4 linked regions of the Rattus norvegicus genome follow. The protein of the gene in region 1 interacts with the protein of each later gene in a biochemical or structural test. Links are inferred from orthologs where the notes say so. Each region holds a gene or a part of one and is shown in the gene's direction. Other genes may lie near its edges.

Evidence for each region. The genes of interacting proteins can lie anywhere in the genome.
Region 2: the proteins of Dlg1 (region 1) and Mtmr1 interact in a test that uses a peptide from one of them, tested with the Homo sapiens proteins (2 studies listed by IntAct, with this or other methods). The link is inferred for Rattus norvegicus from reciprocal best matches to the Homo sapiens genes DLG1 and MTMR1.
Region 3: the proteins of Dlg1 (region 1) and Cript form a complex in vitro, tested with the Homo sapiens proteins (3 studies listed by BioGRID and IntAct, with this or other methods). The link is inferred for Rattus norvegicus from reciprocal best matches to the Homo sapiens genes DLG1 and CRIPT.
Region 4: the proteins of Dlg1 (region 1) and Net1 form a complex in vitro, tested with the Homo sapiens proteins (3 studies listed by BioGRID and IntAct, with this or other methods). The link is inferred for Rattus norvegicus from reciprocal best matches to the Homo sapiens genes DLG1 and NET1.

Annotation. Positions count from the first base shown.
Region 1 is NC_086029.1:82,604,580-82,609,273, reverse strand, and holds the start of Dlg1 (disks large homolog 1), read left to right. Parts: upstream 1-1,476; 5' UTR 1,477-1,895; intron 1,896-2,349; 5' UTR 2,350-2,382; coding exon 2,383-2,401; intron 2,402-3,082; coding exon 3,083-3,214; intron 3,215-4,694. UniProt on the Homo sapiens protein: Essential multidomain scaffolding protein required for normal development. Recruits channels, receptors and signaling molecules to discrete plasma membrane domains in polarized cells.
Region 2 is NC_086036.1:245,888-250,089, forward strand, and holds part of Mtmr1 (myotubularin-related protein 1), read left to right. Parts: intron 1-679; coding exon 680-781; intron 782-1,219; coding exon 1,220-1,303; intron 1,304-1,589; coding exon 1,590-1,739; intron 1,740-2,414; coding exon 2,415-2,603; intron 2,604-3,885; exon of another isoform or gene 3,886-4,202. UniProt on the Homo sapiens protein: Lipid phosphatase that specifically dephosphorylates the D-3 position of phosphatidylinositol 3-phosphate, generating phosphatidylinositol. Could also dephosphorylate phosphatidylinositol 3,5-bisphosphate to produce phosphatidylinositol 5-phosphate.
Region 3 is NC_086024.1:13,334,305-13,337,735, reverse strand, and holds the end of Cript (cysteine-rich PDZ-binding protein), read left to right. Parts: intron 1-959; coding exon 960-1,063; intron 1,064-1,639; coding exon 1,640-1,704; 3' UTR 1,705-2,758; downstream 2,759-3,431. UniProt on the Homo sapiens protein: As a component of the minor spliceosome, involved in the splicing of U12-type introns in pre-mRNAs. Involved in the cytoskeletal anchoring of DLG4 in excitatory synapses.
Region 4 is NC_086035.1:71,276,204-71,280,405, forward strand, and holds the end of Net1 (neuroepithelial cell-transforming gene 1 protein), read left to right. Parts: intron 1-189; coding exon 190-447; intron 448-774; coding exon 775-945; intron 946-1,758; coding exon 1,759-1,945; intron 1,946-2,294; coding exon 2,295-2,698; 3' UTR 2,699-4,142; downstream 4,143-4,202. UniProt on the Homo sapiens protein: Acts as a guanine nucleotide exchange factor (GEF) for RhoA GTPase. May be involved in activation of the SAPK/JNK pathway Stimulates genotoxic stress-induced RHOB activity in breast cancer cells leading to their cell death.

The DNA of each region.
Region 1 (4,694 bases):
TGTATAGTGCATGGCGGTGGGGGGGGGGTCCCTCTCGCCTTCGACCATGTGGATCCCAGGAATGGAATTCAGGGCATCCAGCTCGGAGGCAAGAACCAAGTGAACCATCTCCAAGCTGGATCCAAGCGGATCCAGCCTTAAGGTTTGACACATATGGGTCTCTGCCTTTCTGGTTCTGCCTCAGTAACTTCTGACGACTTTGGAAAAATTTTCCTGGGCTATGGAGCAGAGAAGTTCCTATTGCTTAAAAGCCGCTCAGTGAGCTGGGCAGTGACTCGGAGAACTGTCCCCTTCCTCAAGCTGCAGCCTCAACTCTAGAGCAAGGGTCCCTTGGGACTGTTTGCTCTGCTTTGAGGAGCTTGAAATTTAAACTAGCTGTGAGGGCTGGCAGTAGTTCAGTCTCTGAGGTAGCTACAGGTGAGAGGCTTTTTTTGTTTGTCTTTTACCTAAGACAGGGTTTCTTCTCTGTCTAGCCCTGGCTGTCCTGGAACTCACTGTAACCCAGGTTGGCCTGGAACTCAAAAAGATTAGGTTGCCTTAGCATCCTGGGATTAAAGTCCTGTGCTACCACCACCAGGTAGACAGGTGAGTTTCTTAAAGGGTCCTCCATAAGATGGGTAACTCTTGGGAGCATCACTGGGCAGGGACACATTCATGAACGCACAGATGAATGCAGGCATAAATGAATGAAAAATTTCATCATTAAACGGCTCATATTAGGAGTTAACCACTTACACCTAAAAGTCCCCTGAAACCCTCAAACGTTTACCAAACTAATCAGTCTCCGTTTTACATCCGGTCCTTAATGAAACTCCTCAAACCTTTTTGGACAAACGAATACTTTAAAAACCAGTCAAAAGTGGAAGACCCAGATTACCCCTTCCCCTCCGAAGTCCCTTCTTTCTCCGCCCCTTAACGTGGGTGACCGGCGCAGCCTGCACAAACTCCTTTTTCCCTGTTGGGGATCCACCCCGGGCGTGCCAGGTACTCTTCCAGCCTTGAAGTTGGCCAGCACGTGTTCAGTGAGGTTAAGGGGTGTCTGGAGCTTGTTTCTTGGATCTGGCGCAGGTGAGGTCACTTCTCTGTTTCAGTCTCCATCATCTCGAGTCCAGCGCGCTAGTTCAGAACTGCAGGCCACCCTGGGCTAGGGCGACGGGCAGGCTAGCTGTCCCAAAAACACTTCGGACCACCTGTAGAGCGCGTGCCAACTCCTTTGTCCTTAGAGCCACTTCGACTGGAGCGCCTCTCAGCAAGGCGCTTCCCTCTGGATGCTGAAGGGTCCCTCCTTCCACTACTCCAACCCCCTCCCAGCCCTCCTCCCTTTGCCAACCCCTAGGTAGCAGCGCCCGGAGCCCCGGGCTCCGAGCGAGCCGCCTCCTCACTTCTCATTGGCTGAGGGCGTCGGGAAAGCAGTCACGTGGGCGCGCGGCAGGCCAGCTCCAGGGCCGCCATCTTGGCGGAAAGTTTAGGGGGAGAGCGACTGGGGGCGCGGAAGGAGGCGAGGTTCCGGGGGTGGGGCGGCCCGGAGGCGAGCGGGCGAGCGGGGCCGCGAGCGGCGGCGAGAGGGCAGGCGGCGGCGGCCGAGGCGGAGAGAGCGGCGCGGGGGTGCGGCCGCCGAGAGGAGCTCCTCCCCCGTCCCCTCACCCCCTCAGCTGAGCTCGAGTCGGGGCGGGGCGGGGTACGTGGAGCGGGGCCGGGCGGGGAGCTGCTCCGAGTCTGGCCGGAGCGCACCCGGGGCGCCCGCGTTCGCCGCTCGCGGGAACTTTGCGGCGGAGCCGCAGGTGTGGAGGCCGCGGAGGGGTGCATGAGCGGCGCGAGGGCGGCGCACAGAGCGGCGGCTGTCCGGTCCGGCCCCTGCTGGAGTCGCCGCCGGGAGGAGGCGAGCGAGGAGCCAGGCAAGCGAGAGGAGGGGGCCGGAGCGGGCCGGGGGAGCAACCCGGCGCTTGGCTGGGCGCTGCGCGGCTGGACACGGGCCGGCGGGCGGCAGCAGGTGGGGAGCGTGGCAAGCACGCCGCGGCGGCGGCCCGGCTGCTCCTCTTCAGGTGCTCTTTGCGGAGGGGGAAGCTCTGGAGGAACATTCCGAAGCGGGCTTGGGTCCGATCTTAATCTGTAGGGGGCATAGCGACCCCCGAGAACCGGCTTTCTGCCTTGGCTGACACTGCTGGGGGGGTTGAGGCTCCTGCTTTTCACTTGGGAAAACTTTGAAAGGTGGGCAGTTCCTCCAAGGTTGGAGTTTTTCCTAGTTGAGAGTTTGGGACGGGGGTGGGGGGTTTGGGGGGGAACGAATGGATCCACGGTTCAGTTCTTTGCCTTAGTTCAAGTTTTTCTTCCTGTTTTGTGTTTGTAAAGGTGTGTGTGCCTTCTTCCTGCTTCTGGGAAAAAATGCCGGTCCGGAAGCAAGGTGAGAATTTATTTTGGAACTGTTTTGTGGCTGTCACTGGCTGTAACATACATCAGTGTTGTGGTTACTGTTTTTAAAAGGATTGTGTGACTTTGATGAATCAGCAGGCTCTCGCCTTTATTCCTTACGGTATCTAAGCTCCACATCATTTCAGAGGGTGGAAACACCTAGTTCGCTGCACACACCTTCTCCACATCTGTAGTGATTACTGAAGCAATCAATCAGCCCCCTGCCATGTCTTTTTAAAAACTTCGTTGCTTCAGTATTTCACTTTTCATTCATAGCACCACTATTTTGTGAACAACTGAGAGTAGCTAAGAACCGATGTTTAAAAACTTAAAATTTGGTTATAGGACCAAGTTGGAGATAACTTGTTCTTGTCTATTAGGCATTCTAAAACCAAGTTGTTACCAGTTTAATTAGATGGTCTTTAAGTATTGGAGGCTGTCAGTCCACAGCCACTACTTTCTCCTTCCTCTAGTGTGATATAAAGCCTTTAAAGTATTTTCGTCTTAGCAGGGAATGGAATATGGTTGTAGCGCTGACCCCACTTGACTTGGAGGCTCTGGGGAACTCTTTAGATGTCTTGTAGACGTAGCATGTAGCACTTTCTTGTAAGTATGCATGCAGACACAGACCCTAAATATATACATGAAATTTTCACCGTACTTGTCTTTTCAGATACCCAGAGAGCATTGCATCTGTTGGAAGAATATCGGTCGAAACTAAGCCAAACCGAAGACAGACAGCTCAGGAGTTCCATAGAGCGGGTTATTAGCATATTTCAGAGCAACCTCTTTCAGGCTTTAATAGGTGAGAATTAAAACTGTTTTACTTGTGACCACTGTACTAATGCATGGTGCTTCTCTGTCATGTGAAACTTAGAATGACAATGTGCTTGGCTCTCCGGGGACGGCCATTAACTTGGAACATCTCTACTGTGCTTATGTTTTGCAGTAGGCCACTGTTGCTTCTAAAGGTATTTAATTACCAGAAAAAACTTACTGGTATGGTTATTTCTGTGCCCTCTGAGAATACCGTTTCAAGTTTTAGAGTTACCTATTGAAAGATGGACAAGTTGTAGAAATGTTTTAGGAACATCAATGGTTCCTGAACTATTGTTGGTGTTTCTGTAGTTGACTTGTATTTCTCTGGAATCCTTGAAGATATTTGAAGGGTTCTGCTGTGTTCGAGAGCAGTCATCTCTTTGATATACACCTCTGTTAAATTTGACATTCCTATAGTATGAGTTTTAGACCTGGAGAATGATCTCAGAGGTGATGTCTAATAATTATCTTATTCTACAGATAGCATTGTAACAGTCTTATTCTTACCTACCTGTATCTTAAATATGAGATAGTTCGTTGTTTTAAAGAGTTGGACAAGTAGTCCAAAGTCCTGACTAGTTCCTGACACGGTTAGTGATTAAATATCAGAGAGCCCATTCATCCAGTTTAGGCTGGTTAGTAACTGTAGACTGTGGGCGAGTAAGTGAAGAGTGGGCTTTTAAGACTTTTAAAGACAGCAGGTTCTTTTAAAAATGAAATTTCTGTTTTTCTCACCTGACTACTGAACCAGGTGGTTTATTGCCTCCAGGTTCAATAGTAAGATTAAAAAAAATTAAGTAAGGACTGTCTAACACGTTCAAATAAGACCTATGCTTTCTCTCATTATGTCCATTTTCTCAGTAACTTCCCAGCGGATAGGCCTCACACACGTGTGTGCTGATAGATTGATTACTGGTGTGATTTGAACACTGTTGTCAATGTGTGCCTTGTCAGATAACTTATTGCTCTATTGATGCTCTTTAGCCTTGTACAGGCTTGGTAGACCTTATAACTTTTTAGAGTTTAGTGTTACTACAGACTTAAAGACATGCATTAAGGGTGGGGAGAGGGTGAACTGCCAGTGTCACCCACCCATCCTCAGAGATTATCAGCATTTTCACAATGTGAGAGGACACATTTGCACTTGTTTTCCAGGCCATGACCTTTAAGGTCCCAATAGGTCATCACCTTGGTTCCTTGGAGGAAAAACCCAGCCAATGAGGAAGAGAAAAACAATATTTTAGTTATGTAGTTTTCTAGATAACATTAAACCTAGAAATTTTTATTTAATAGAGACACATTAGGGAAAACCCTAGCATGACTTGTATGTCCTCATCTGCATACACATGTGCATATGGACTGCAGTCTGACTGTAAGGGAAAGCTGTAACCTGAGAAAACTAAATAGACTCGACCCTTACCATGTTATGGTTGGACTTGCTCTGCTTTGAGGCCGTTGTTGCATAG
Region 2 (4,202 bases), on another chromosome or scaffold:
ACATATACACACACACACACACACACACACATATGTATACACACACACCCCTTGGTGAGTTGATAGAAACATTGATTGGGAAACCATTTTAAGAAATCATTATTAAGAAATAGTGTTTATTCTATTGACACAAAGACTCGCTAAGGCGACTCACAGTGAGTGCATAGGGGAAGCACCTTCTGCACATGAGTGCATAGGGGAAGCATTTGTAACATTCCTTTTCACGGATGACTCGTTCAGCAGCTTAGCCTGAACAATAAATTCCACTTTGGCCAGGAAGTGCACAGAATGCGGTTGTACATCTTATGTGAGCAAACATTATTTTTAACTATCCTGCTGACTCTCCTTCCCAATGTTTACGTCCCCTTTATTCCATTTTTCTTAACTTTTTTCTTTTCTTTTTAATTTTTTTCCTTTTTTCTCCATTTTTTCCTTTTTAATTTTTTTCCTTTTTTTCTCCTTTTTTTCTTTTTTATTCCCTATTTTTTCCTTCTTTTTTTCCTTAATTTTTAAAAGCTCACTGGGAGTATTCTTGTTGACTTGTCTTCTGTTAGTTGAAAAACTGTAGAGTACAAAACAAGGGATGAATAAAAGTCTTCCGTGTGTGCTGTGTCAGGGCGTCTGGCTAACAAGTGCTCATTCCATGTTGAATAGCTGAGCTTTGTTCATCGTTTCCTAGGACATGAGGAACCTGAGACTCGCGTATAAGCAGGAAGAACAGAGAAAACTTGGGATATTTGAGAACCTCAACAAGCACGCTTTTCCTCTTTCCAATGGACAGGTGAGCACAGCGAAGCAAACCTTCCTTGGGTGTCCAGCAATTCCACATTTATACATTTCTTTTGGGTTTAGTCCTTATCTCTTTCTGTGACGTAGCTAAATGCAAAAATTTGGATTTTATATCTCTTGCATAATAACTAAATTCAAATATTTTATCTCTCCTGCATAACGAATGATTAAGAAAAGCTTCTATGAGTTCAAGGCCATCCTGGTCTATAGAGCGAGTTCCAGGACAGCCGGGGCTACGTAGACAGACCCTGCCTGGAAAAACAAATTAAAGAAAGAAAAAACAACAAAGAAAAGAAAGAAGTGGGGGCTCCTAAGTTATTACTTTAAAACGTGCAGATTAAAACAGAACCGGTAGCAGAATGAACGAAGGTTTATAGTTTGTTATGGGATAACAAACACTGACGTGCGTTTTGTGGATTTTCGTCTCTAGGCGCTGTTTGCGTTCAACTATAAAGAGAAGTTTCCAGTTAACGGCTGGAAAGTCTACGACCCAGTGTCTGAATACAAGAGACAGGTAGAGTACGTCACTTGTCACATGGGATGCGGTAGCTTCCTTGTCCGTACTGAAAGGACAGATGTGCAGCCACGGAGAAGAAGCTGTGCTTCCAGATGTTTTTGCATTCCAGGCCTCATAAAGAATGGATGAATGAGGATCCACGCTGTCATTAATTTGATTTGAGGCACCGTTATTTTAATAGCAATAAGCAAGTTATAAACGAATAAATGTGATTCATGGTTTGTTTGTTTGTTTATTTATTTATTTATTTATTTCCCGTTCTTCTTCCTCTAACGTCCTACAGGGCCTGCCAAATGAGAGCTGGAAAATATCCAAAATCAACAGTAATTATGAGTTCTGCGATACCTACCCTGCCGTCATCGTTGTGCCAACGAGCGTGAAAGATGATGACCTTCTGAAAGTGTCAGCCTTTCGAGCAAAGGGCAGAGTCCCTGTGAGTAATGAGCTTTGTTGTTCAGAAAGAAACAGGCACAACATCTCTATGTGCACTGCTCACCTGTTCTGCACCCACCTCTATGTGCACTGTTTACCTGTTCTGCACCTACCTCTATGTGCACTGTTCACCTGTTCTGTACCCACCTCTATGTGCACTGCTCACTTTTGATCTGAAGAAATACCTCATTATACAAACACTCATTTATTTTATTTCTGTAGTTACATGGGAATGAAATAATCATGCCCAGGAGGAAGGGATGGTTTCTTCAAGTTTACAACTGAATTATTTTGTGTCCTTGGACCTCTGTAGAAAAATGGGAGATCTGAGATATATCTATCTATATATCTATCTATATCTATCTATCTATATATATGTATGTATATATGTATGTATGTTTTTGATAAGAGACCTCACTGTGCTATTTATGTTATTATAAAGATATGATGTTTTTATATTAGAAAAATATGGAGCTTGACAGTCAAATAGAAATGGGATTAGATTTTAGTAATAGTTCGATTTAAGTTTTATCTTATTTGGAGTGATAGGATTTCAAAGGAGAAAGGGATTTTTAGAATGTCTCATTGTACTTTTTGTCAACTAATTAGATAATATATTATATTACGAATGACACCCCTCAGCGGATATTTATTATTTGTTGCCCTAAAACATCAGGTGTTGTCGTGGATTCATCCGGAGAGTCAGGCCACAATTACACGTTGCGGCCAGCCATTGGTGGGTCCCAACGATAAACGCTGCAAAGAAGATGAGAAATACCTGCAGACCATCATGGATGCCAATGCGCAGTCACATAAACTCACTATCTTCGATGCCCGGCAGAACAGCGTTGCCGATACTAACAAGGTATGTGTTTGGTAGCCTTGGAGAAAACGTGGGGTTTTTGTTTGTTCGCTTGTTTGTTTTTTCATGCTTTCTATAAGTCTTCATCGTTTTAGAACGCGCCATTGAATCTTGCCTTTTTCATAACTTTCCCACAGTTTAGTTTGACGACTCGATGAAGCAAAGCCCTATAGAGAGAACTACGTAAACTAGTGCGTATTTTAATGAAACCACCACAGGCCCTTTGGAAGTCCCTCTAATAAATTTACTGATTGTTTAACCAATTCATAACTTTAAATAAATATATATATATATATATACATTCAGTATCTTTAAATATATATTCTAAATATATATATATTCAGTATCTTTAAATATATATTCTAAATATATATGTATATTCAGTATCTTTAAATATATATTCTAAATATATATAGATATATTCAGTATCTTTAAATGTATATATTCTAAATATATATAGAGAGATGTATTCAGTATCTTTATGTATATTTTCTAAATGTATATATCCTGAGGATATCATGATGACCTTTAGGGCCCTCTCGAGGTCATCCAAGGTTATCCCAGAGATCTGGTTCAGTTTTGTTTCTCAGATAAGGTTGTGTTCGCAATCAGCAGGGGTTTATTCTGTTCACCTTTAGTGAGGGCCACTTTTCAGCCTACTTTACAGACTTCTCCTGACTGCTGGGTCTTTGCAAAGAAGGCAACCTTGGGGCCTGGAGGGGTGGCTCAGTGGTTAGAGCACCGACTGCTCTCTCAGAGATCCTGAGTTCAATTCCCAGCAACCACATGGTGGCTTACAACCATCTGTAATGGGATCTGATGCCCTCTTCTGGTGTGTCTGAAGACAGCCACAGTGTACTTATATATAATAAATAAATAAATCTTTAAAATAAAAAAAAGAATGCAACCTTATTTGAAAAATGAAACTAAACCACTATACTGCTTGTTCCCAGAACTCACAAAATACGAGAAAATTATGTGGAGAAGACAGACAGACAGACAGAGACAGGAGAAAGACCGTCCTTTTAATTATTTATGACTTTAAAATATTTACTATACTTTTGATTGACTAGAGTGGCACACAGCCATAGTGTGTGTGACGTTTTGTTTGCAGACTTGGGCACGTATAGGTAGTGTCTGCCCGTGTCACCGGTTTCTCTTAGGAACATTGGTTGGCCCTGACAGACACAGGTCTGTCTAATCAATTTTCGTTTTCTAGAACTCTCTCAACCTCACACCCCGCTCCTTAGAAGGCATCGGTTGGTTTCCTTCCTCGTCGTCTTCCTTTTTGTTTTGTCTTGAGACCCCCAAATGGTGGATCCCTGTGTCCTGTTATAGAACTGACGTGCAGTGTTCTTTTCACCCTATAGCCCTGGTGTGATAAATGAGCATCTGTGCATTGCCATAGGTGACCAATGAACTTTGACCCCCTAAGTCCATTCTGATTCTTAGTGTGCACGGGCTGCCTCCGTTCCTCCTCACAGAGTTTCCTCCCCATTGGCCACTGGCTCCCATATGTATGACATATACTACCAATGTATATATCACACTATCAGTGTGTATGTGTACATTATTGTATGTTAATATTTCTACGAATAGAGA
Region 3 (3,431 bases), on another chromosome or scaffold:
AGCCCACTTGACACATAGACATATATGCAGGGAAGACACATGTACACATAAAATTAAAATACACAGATAAAGGTAAAAAAGTTAAAAGAATCTCATATGCCGTAATCCAAACAAGACACCAGGACGATAATGTCACATGAAGAAAATGTAAAGAGCTATTCTGGAGGAAGGCAAATAGTCAGTTTTAGGAGAATTATTTCTTATAAAGTTATTTGCCCTCTATTTCCTGTAAGATACCAATGTTCATATAGTAGAAATCCCTTTATCCAAAGGGACCAAGTGGAGTCAGTAGAAAAACCTTGTTAAAGTGAGTAGTCATTAGGAAATGCGCCTGTCTCATTAAAGTGAACTGTACATGTGGACATTGAGATTAACCCTTTATGGTCGGGTCTGCTGATGAGAGTTTATATTACTTCTCACAGAAACCATCACCAGAATATATTATATACCTTCAGAGTGGAGCAAAAACTAAGCCGGGTGTGATGGCATGTGCCTGTAACCCCAGTGCTTAGGTGCTGGTGGCAAAAGCATCAGGAGGTCAAGGTTCACCAAGGGAGGGGGGCAGGGAAGGGGAATGGTCCTGGAGAGATGACATGAGTTTGCTTCTTAAAGCCACGTGTAACCCCATCTACAAAGAACCCAAACCCTCTGGCTTCCATAGCTACCTGCACACATATGACATACATATGTACATAGAGAACATATGGAATCCACCCTCCCGTTTTTAGTAATTGGCTTACCCATATCTAATCCCAGTACTGGAGAGGCAGAGGCAGGTGAATCTCAGTGAGTTAGAAGCCAGCCTGGTCTACAGAGTAAGTACCAGGACAGCCAGAGCCATACAGAGAAAGCCTGTCTCTCTCTCTCTCTCTCTCTCTCTCTCACACACACACACACACACGCACACACACACACAAGTTTCTATTGTGGTATGAATATCTTTTTTTTTAACTCTCTAGGTTTGATCCATATGGAAAAAATAAGTTCTCCACTTGCAGAATTTGTAAAAGTTCTGTACACCAGCCAGGTTCTCATTACTGTCAAGGCTGTGCCTACAAGAAAGGTATGTTTCTTTAACTCGATTTTTCGACTTAAATCTATCTCATTTGGTGTTGGTTTAAGTAATTGAAAGGAGTAACCTTTCTAGAGTTGTTAATCAAATACCCTTTTTTACTAAGATAAAATAGAATTTAAATTTGTAGTCAAAAGGATATCCCTTTTTCTCTCTTATGACGTTTTGAAGTTCTTAAAGATTCTCCATCTGCCCTTCTCTCTGTGTCTGAGTGTGTGGTCATGTGTGCAGCTCACTTATGCATTAGGCATGTGTGCCTGAAGCCAAGAGAAGGCGTCTCTCTCTATTACCACCTTGTGAGGCGGGGTCTCTCCCTGACCCTGAGGCTCCTGTTTCTCAGTTGGGGTAGAAGCCAGCAAACCCCAAGGATCCTCCTGTCTGCACCCTACTTGGATTTGAAATTATGGGGATTTGTGAGCAGATGTGAATGTTGAACTCCAGACTCTAGTTTCCATGATGACAGAGCAAGTGCGCTTGACCAGTGAGCGAGCCGGGCAGCCCCGCTGAGCTTTAGTTTAACATAAATAAAGCAACTGGCTGCTGCTCACATGCTTTCTTTTGTTTCAGGCATCTGTGCGATGTGTGGCAAAAAGGTTTTGGATACTAAAAACTACAAGCAGACTTCCGTCTAGGCTGTTGAAGATTCCAACTCTACGGTTGTATTTGTGCTTCAGCTTTTCAAGCGTAACACGGATGTCCATCTCACAAAATGACCTGTTTGAGGATGAATGATTCAGTCTGAAGCAGGGACGTTGATCAGTATTGATCTGTCTGCTCTCATGAAGTTGTGAATGAAGTTTCTGCCTTAGGTGGTTATTTTCCTTGTGAGCATTTTACTGAACTAGATAAGTGACAAAATTAATGAACGAGGTTTCCCAACTTGTGTACGCACTGTCTACTCGACATTATCTAATTAATGAGTACGCACTGTCTACTCGACATTATCTGTATAATTAATGAGTAAGGTGTTCCCTACTTCTGTACGCACTGTCTACTAGACATTATCCATATAATTCCTATCTGACCCACGCGTTTTATTTATAGATATTGCAAATGTGAAATCACTGATTCTTTGCTCTGAACTTGACATCCAGACTTGAGATTTCTCACTTTCTCACAAACATTGCAGTTCTTAGAACAAACAGGGCCTTAGTTACTGCATTTTCATGAGCTATAATGTCTGAGACCATTTTTGCAGAGTGGTTCCTTGGTGACCAGTCCTGCCACAAGTCTAAGATAAGTTGCATTTTTATTTAAAGTTGCTGTTGCTGCTAAAGTGAGTTTCTTTTACGTGTGACTGAGTGCCATGGGGCCCGATGTCCAGGCAGACACTGAAGTTCAGAGACGTGCGTTCTGTCAGCATTATCTTAAATTCAAATGAGAATACATTTATTCTGTTTGGGAATGTTCTTTGAAGAAGGATACATAGCTTTCCTTAACACCCCCCAACCCCCGCTGCCACTTCCTCAGAAATAAAGCAGGCCTCTGGCCTCTGACATTGCTGCAGCCTGCCAGGGGGCTGCTGTGAATGAAGGTTTTTCTTGTTGCCTTCTTTGGGTTGGGCCTTCCACCTTTAAAACCCTCAGCCTACCCAGAGACCAAAAGCATATTCTCTGTTTTTATCTGCAGGATCTTAAATGCATATCACTGTGTAATGTGAGACCTACTATAAACAATGAAAAAATAGACATTGATTATGGTTTTAAAATTACTTTGAAGAAAAATTCTTAATTTTATCCACTAGATTTTTTTTCAATGTTTTTCTAGGGTGCTTTGTTAATTTGTTAATTTTTATCAGAAAAATTACAGAAATAATACAAAATACAAATAACATCTCAGCCGGGCAGTGGTGGCACACACTTTTAATCCCAGGAGGCAGAGGCAGAAGGATCTCTTGAGTTCAAGGTCAGCCTGGTCTACAGAGTGAGTTCCAGGACAGCCAGAGCTACATAGAGCAACCTTGTCTGGAAAGACAAAATACAAAAACAAATAGTATGGCTCAGTATAAAATACCTCCTATGTTTTAACTTGGGATTTTTCGGGGGTTGGGTTTTAGTTTTTTGAGGCAGGGTCCCTCTACATAGCCCTGACTGTCTGTAGACCAAGCTGACTTCTCGAAGTGTTAAGATCTTAACGCAGAGAAGTCATAAAGGACCCAGCTGTGCTGTACCCTTAAGCAGTTCCTTACCGTGCAGCACAGGATGGTCTGTTTTGATCTGGGCTCCGTTACTGTGGTCCTCCCACCCGCCCTTAGCCCTGCAGTGAGTCGTTTGTCCAGATGTCCCTGGTTCAAGTTGTAAGATTTCTGGGCAAACACTTAACATGTATGATTACCATGTATCAGCCTGTGCACACGGGG
Region 4 (4,202 bases), on another chromosome or scaffold:
CAGGGTGTGACATATGATAGAAGCAGCACAGATAATAATGTCTTAGTGAGGCCACGAGACCTCAGTTGAGCCAGGAGAACTCCACAGCCGGTTACACACGTGGGGTCAGGCTGTCTTGTGGTTTGTGCTCATGGCTTACTGTGCACCCGGTCACGTCAGGATACGTCATGCTCTGTCTTTGCACCCCAGTTACCAGGCCTGAACGCCTACAGAGGCTACTGTAGCAACCAGCTGGCGGCCAAGGCTCTTCTGGATCAGAAGAAACAGGACCCACGAGTCCAAGACTTCCTCCAGCGCTGTCTGGAGTCTCCCTTCAGTCGAAAGCTAGATCTTTGGAGTTTCCTAGATATTCCTCGAAGTCGCCTCGTCAAGTACCCCTTGCTGTTAAAAGAAATCCTTAGACATACGCCCAAAGACCACCTCGATGTTCAGCTTCTGGAGAAAGCAGTAAGTGAACCCATAAAGGGTCTTGCAAGTTTATCATGGGTGACCTTAGAAAAGCATACAGTGGTACTTTTAAATCTCACATCATCAAAAGACTGGGTTTTTATCTAGTTCTTTCCACTGGCTGGCAGCCCTGAACTAGTCACCCAGTATGGCTGTTCACAGGTATAGTGAAGAGACGGGCTGGGTGACTCTGAGTCCATTCGAGCTTTAGATTCTGTCCTTCTGTGTGAGGTCGCTCAGGAGGAAGGCAGGGAGGGGGAAGGAGGATGGGCAGATAGGCTGCAGCTGCTCCATCTGGCCTTACCCTTCTGTCTTCATCATTTCTAGATTTTAATAATACAAGAAGTTCTTTCTGATATCAACTTGAAGAAAGGCGAATCCGAGTGTCAGTATTACATCGACAAACTGGAGTACCTGGATGAGAAGCAGAAGGACCCCAGGATCGAGGCGAGCAAGGTGCTGCTGTGTCATGGGGAGCTGAAGAATAAAAGTGGCCATGTGAGTTTCCACACGAACTGAAGGGAAACCACTGCTTCCCATTCCCACCTCAAGTCCTGCGAATAAACGATGAGGCAGTTGTTAAAAATGAGCCTGCAGCCTGCAACAGCAGATTAATGCTTGTCTGTGTGACCAGCAAAGAAGACTTAAACCTCTCCACTAGCAGTCGTCCTTTCTGCTCGCGATCCATAGGCCTGCCTGTGGCTGGCTCCCGTCTCATGAGCTCTTGCCTTGGGGATGGTGTCTGGTAGCAGGGCCAGAGGTTCCAGTACCACTCACGTTTTACAGCGGGTTAAATAAGAGCAACTTTATTTTTTTAAATATTCATTACAAAAGAACCTTCTGGAATTAAGGAGTCGGGAATGCTATTTCTGGTTTCTGTGCGCTTTCCAACAGCTCCATTTGTAAGTCGGGGTTGTTTAAGAGAAAGTTGAAATGCAGCCTATCTGATTCTGTCACAGAGCCTAACTGTTCTGTGAAGGCTTGGACCTGTAGACACAGCGGAACCGTGCCCTGTGTAGCAGCTCGCACAGGGCTCCCTGTGGAAGCTGCAGTGCATAGTCTGCTGACGCCGGGTCTTCCGGATCCATGGCATTTACTCAGCTGTTGCCTAACGCTGGCCTGTGGCCAGACAGGAGAGAGAGAAGAGCTTTGGGTGGCCTGAGCTTCACTGCTCCACATCAAAGCCATGAGATCACTGTTTTATGCCATTTATAAAGAACTTAGAATCAAAGTCTAATGTCAAATTTACTTCAGCAATTAAACCCCTTATTTAAGAACTTTTGGGTGTTTTTTTCCCCTTCATTTCTGCAGAAACTGTACATTTTCTTATTTCAAGACATCTTGGTTTTGACTCGGCCTGTCACCCGAAATGAGCGCCACTCCTACCAGGTTTACCGCCAGCCCATCCCAGTGCAGGAGCTGGTGCTGGAAGACCTGCAGGACGGGGATGTGCGCATGGGCGGCTCCTTCCGAGGGGCCTTTGGCAACTCAGACAAAGGTAAGGGCGCACTCTAGGGTAGTTTACTCAAGGGAGCCAGATTAGCCCGGGAGGAAAGGGGTGAAGCAGAGTGACCACACATTTGAAGCTAACCTGGGCTTCAGAATGAGACCCCATCTTGAAAACCAACACTGAAGAGAAGAAACAAACATCCCTAAATGAGATTAGAGTCAACCCTTAGAACTTGGAAAGCAGACTGTTCCCTAGTCGTGCCTGGCACAGCATGAGTTGGTCAGGGACTCCGGCCAGCAGCTGTCTGGACAGTGTATGTCTAGTCGTAAGTGCTGGAACTCTGCTTAAGACTTCATGACCACCTTCTTAGTCTTGATTTCTTCTTTCCTCCCTTCAGCTAAAAATATCTTTAGAGTGCGCTTCCAGGACCCTTCTCCAGGCCAGTCCCACACACTGCAAGCCAACGATGTGTTCCACAAGCAGCAGTGGTTCAACTGCATTCGCTCGGCCATCGCCCCTTTCCAGCGGGCCGCCAGCCCCCTCGAGCTGCAGGGCTTGCCAGACCTGCACGAAGAGTGTGAGGAGAACAACCCTTCTGCTGGGAATCTCAGAGCCCAGCGACGGTCATGCGTGCTTCCTGGTGTTATGCAGGTAGACCATGAAAGTGTGCTGGAGTGTGGCTCGAGTGTACAGACCTCGGAGGACACCAGGAACGCAAAGGCACATCGGCCTCAGCATGGCCTGCGAAGAGCAAGGGACAAGGCGCAGTTGGGTGGCAAAAAGAAAGAGACTTTGGTATGAGTGTGTGTGTTCCCCGGTGGGAGCTGTTTATTTATAAATGTGTACAGTTTTCTTGTAACGGGAGCGTCGAGGGCTACTCTGTACCAGATGTAATATGTCCATGGATTGGGTCTCTCTCTCATCCTCTCCCTCTCCCTTCCTCCCCCCCCCCAACCCCCACGTCCTCGTCTGCGTTGTCGTCATTGTCGTTGTTGTTAATGGCAGCTAAAGATACACAGGTTACTGTTAGAGTGAAGACTTTGAAGGGGTGTTTTCATGGATGGTGGCTTTTATCAGAAGAAATGTGGCAGAACCAGTGTCGTCCATGCTGGTAGACCGTGACTTTCCACCAAATGCCAGTGTTTGCCAAGCTTAAACCTTGCAAATGCTGAAGTTCCGTCAGCGTTCTTTGTTAGAGCTCAGGTGGAGTGCGGAATTTTAATAATGACACCTGCAGTCTACATGGGCGAGGTCTGAGTTTGAAATATTTCATATTTACAGGGAGCGCTGCTTCCTTGGAGAACAAGCATAAAGCCTGTTGTCTTCCCCTTTTCTCAACTGGAACGAACGAACGAACACCGTGTCAGTCTCACACGGTTCTCCTTCTCCATTCATTCATTCTGCCAACTATTTAATTTTTTTTTATTGTAAAGTAGTTTTTAGTATTTGCTTTTATTTTTTTACGTTGATGCCTTTTTAAATTGGCATATCCTTGAAGTTTTTCCTCCTGATTTTGTGTGTGTGTGTGTGTGTGTGTGTGTGTGTGTGTGTGTGTGTGTGTCATATTAATTTTATCAAGTGAAACCAAGCCATATTGTTTGAGCCAATTAAGAAAACAGCAGTTTTTACAGTGTATCATGTCAGGGTGATAAAGTCCCATGAAATGACTTAGTGTATTCTAGACTACTGAAAGAAACCACAGGAAGGGTGGGTGGAAGTTTTTGTGTTGTCAGAAAAGCAAGAGAGAAGGCAGGAGACTGGGATAGTAAAGGGAAGGGAAAGAGTAATTTGTCTAAAATTGTCTGGCTGAACCAGAGGAGCGGAGCTAGGAGCAGCCTGACCTGAGGGTATGTAGGAAGTTGGAGAAGGCCAGGGGGAATGTGAACTCTGTTTGCTTTGGTTTCTCATACCTGCAAATGCTAAATTTGAGAAGAAGCCACACGGCGTGTTGGAAATTTGGTTAATTCTGGTTGGTTTTCTTCATTCAAGAAAGCTCGTGATTCTTCACTGCAAAATGTTTGCATTAGAAATGGGGTCATGCTCTTTAAAGGGGGGAGAAGGACAGAGGCCCCATGTCAGCCCAGGGTTTTACTGGTGATCAGTTCAAGTCATTGTTAACCATTATGTGAAATATATCTCCAGTGGAACTGAAAATTGGAAAAGGCTGTAAATAAATCAATCAAATGATTTCTTTGTATAAACGAATTATACAATTAAAAAAAAGCACACACATAATAACCCAAAACACTTCTTGCCTGGTGGTTATTTGGGGGGCCGTCCACTGGACCATGAGGGCTTAGCTAAG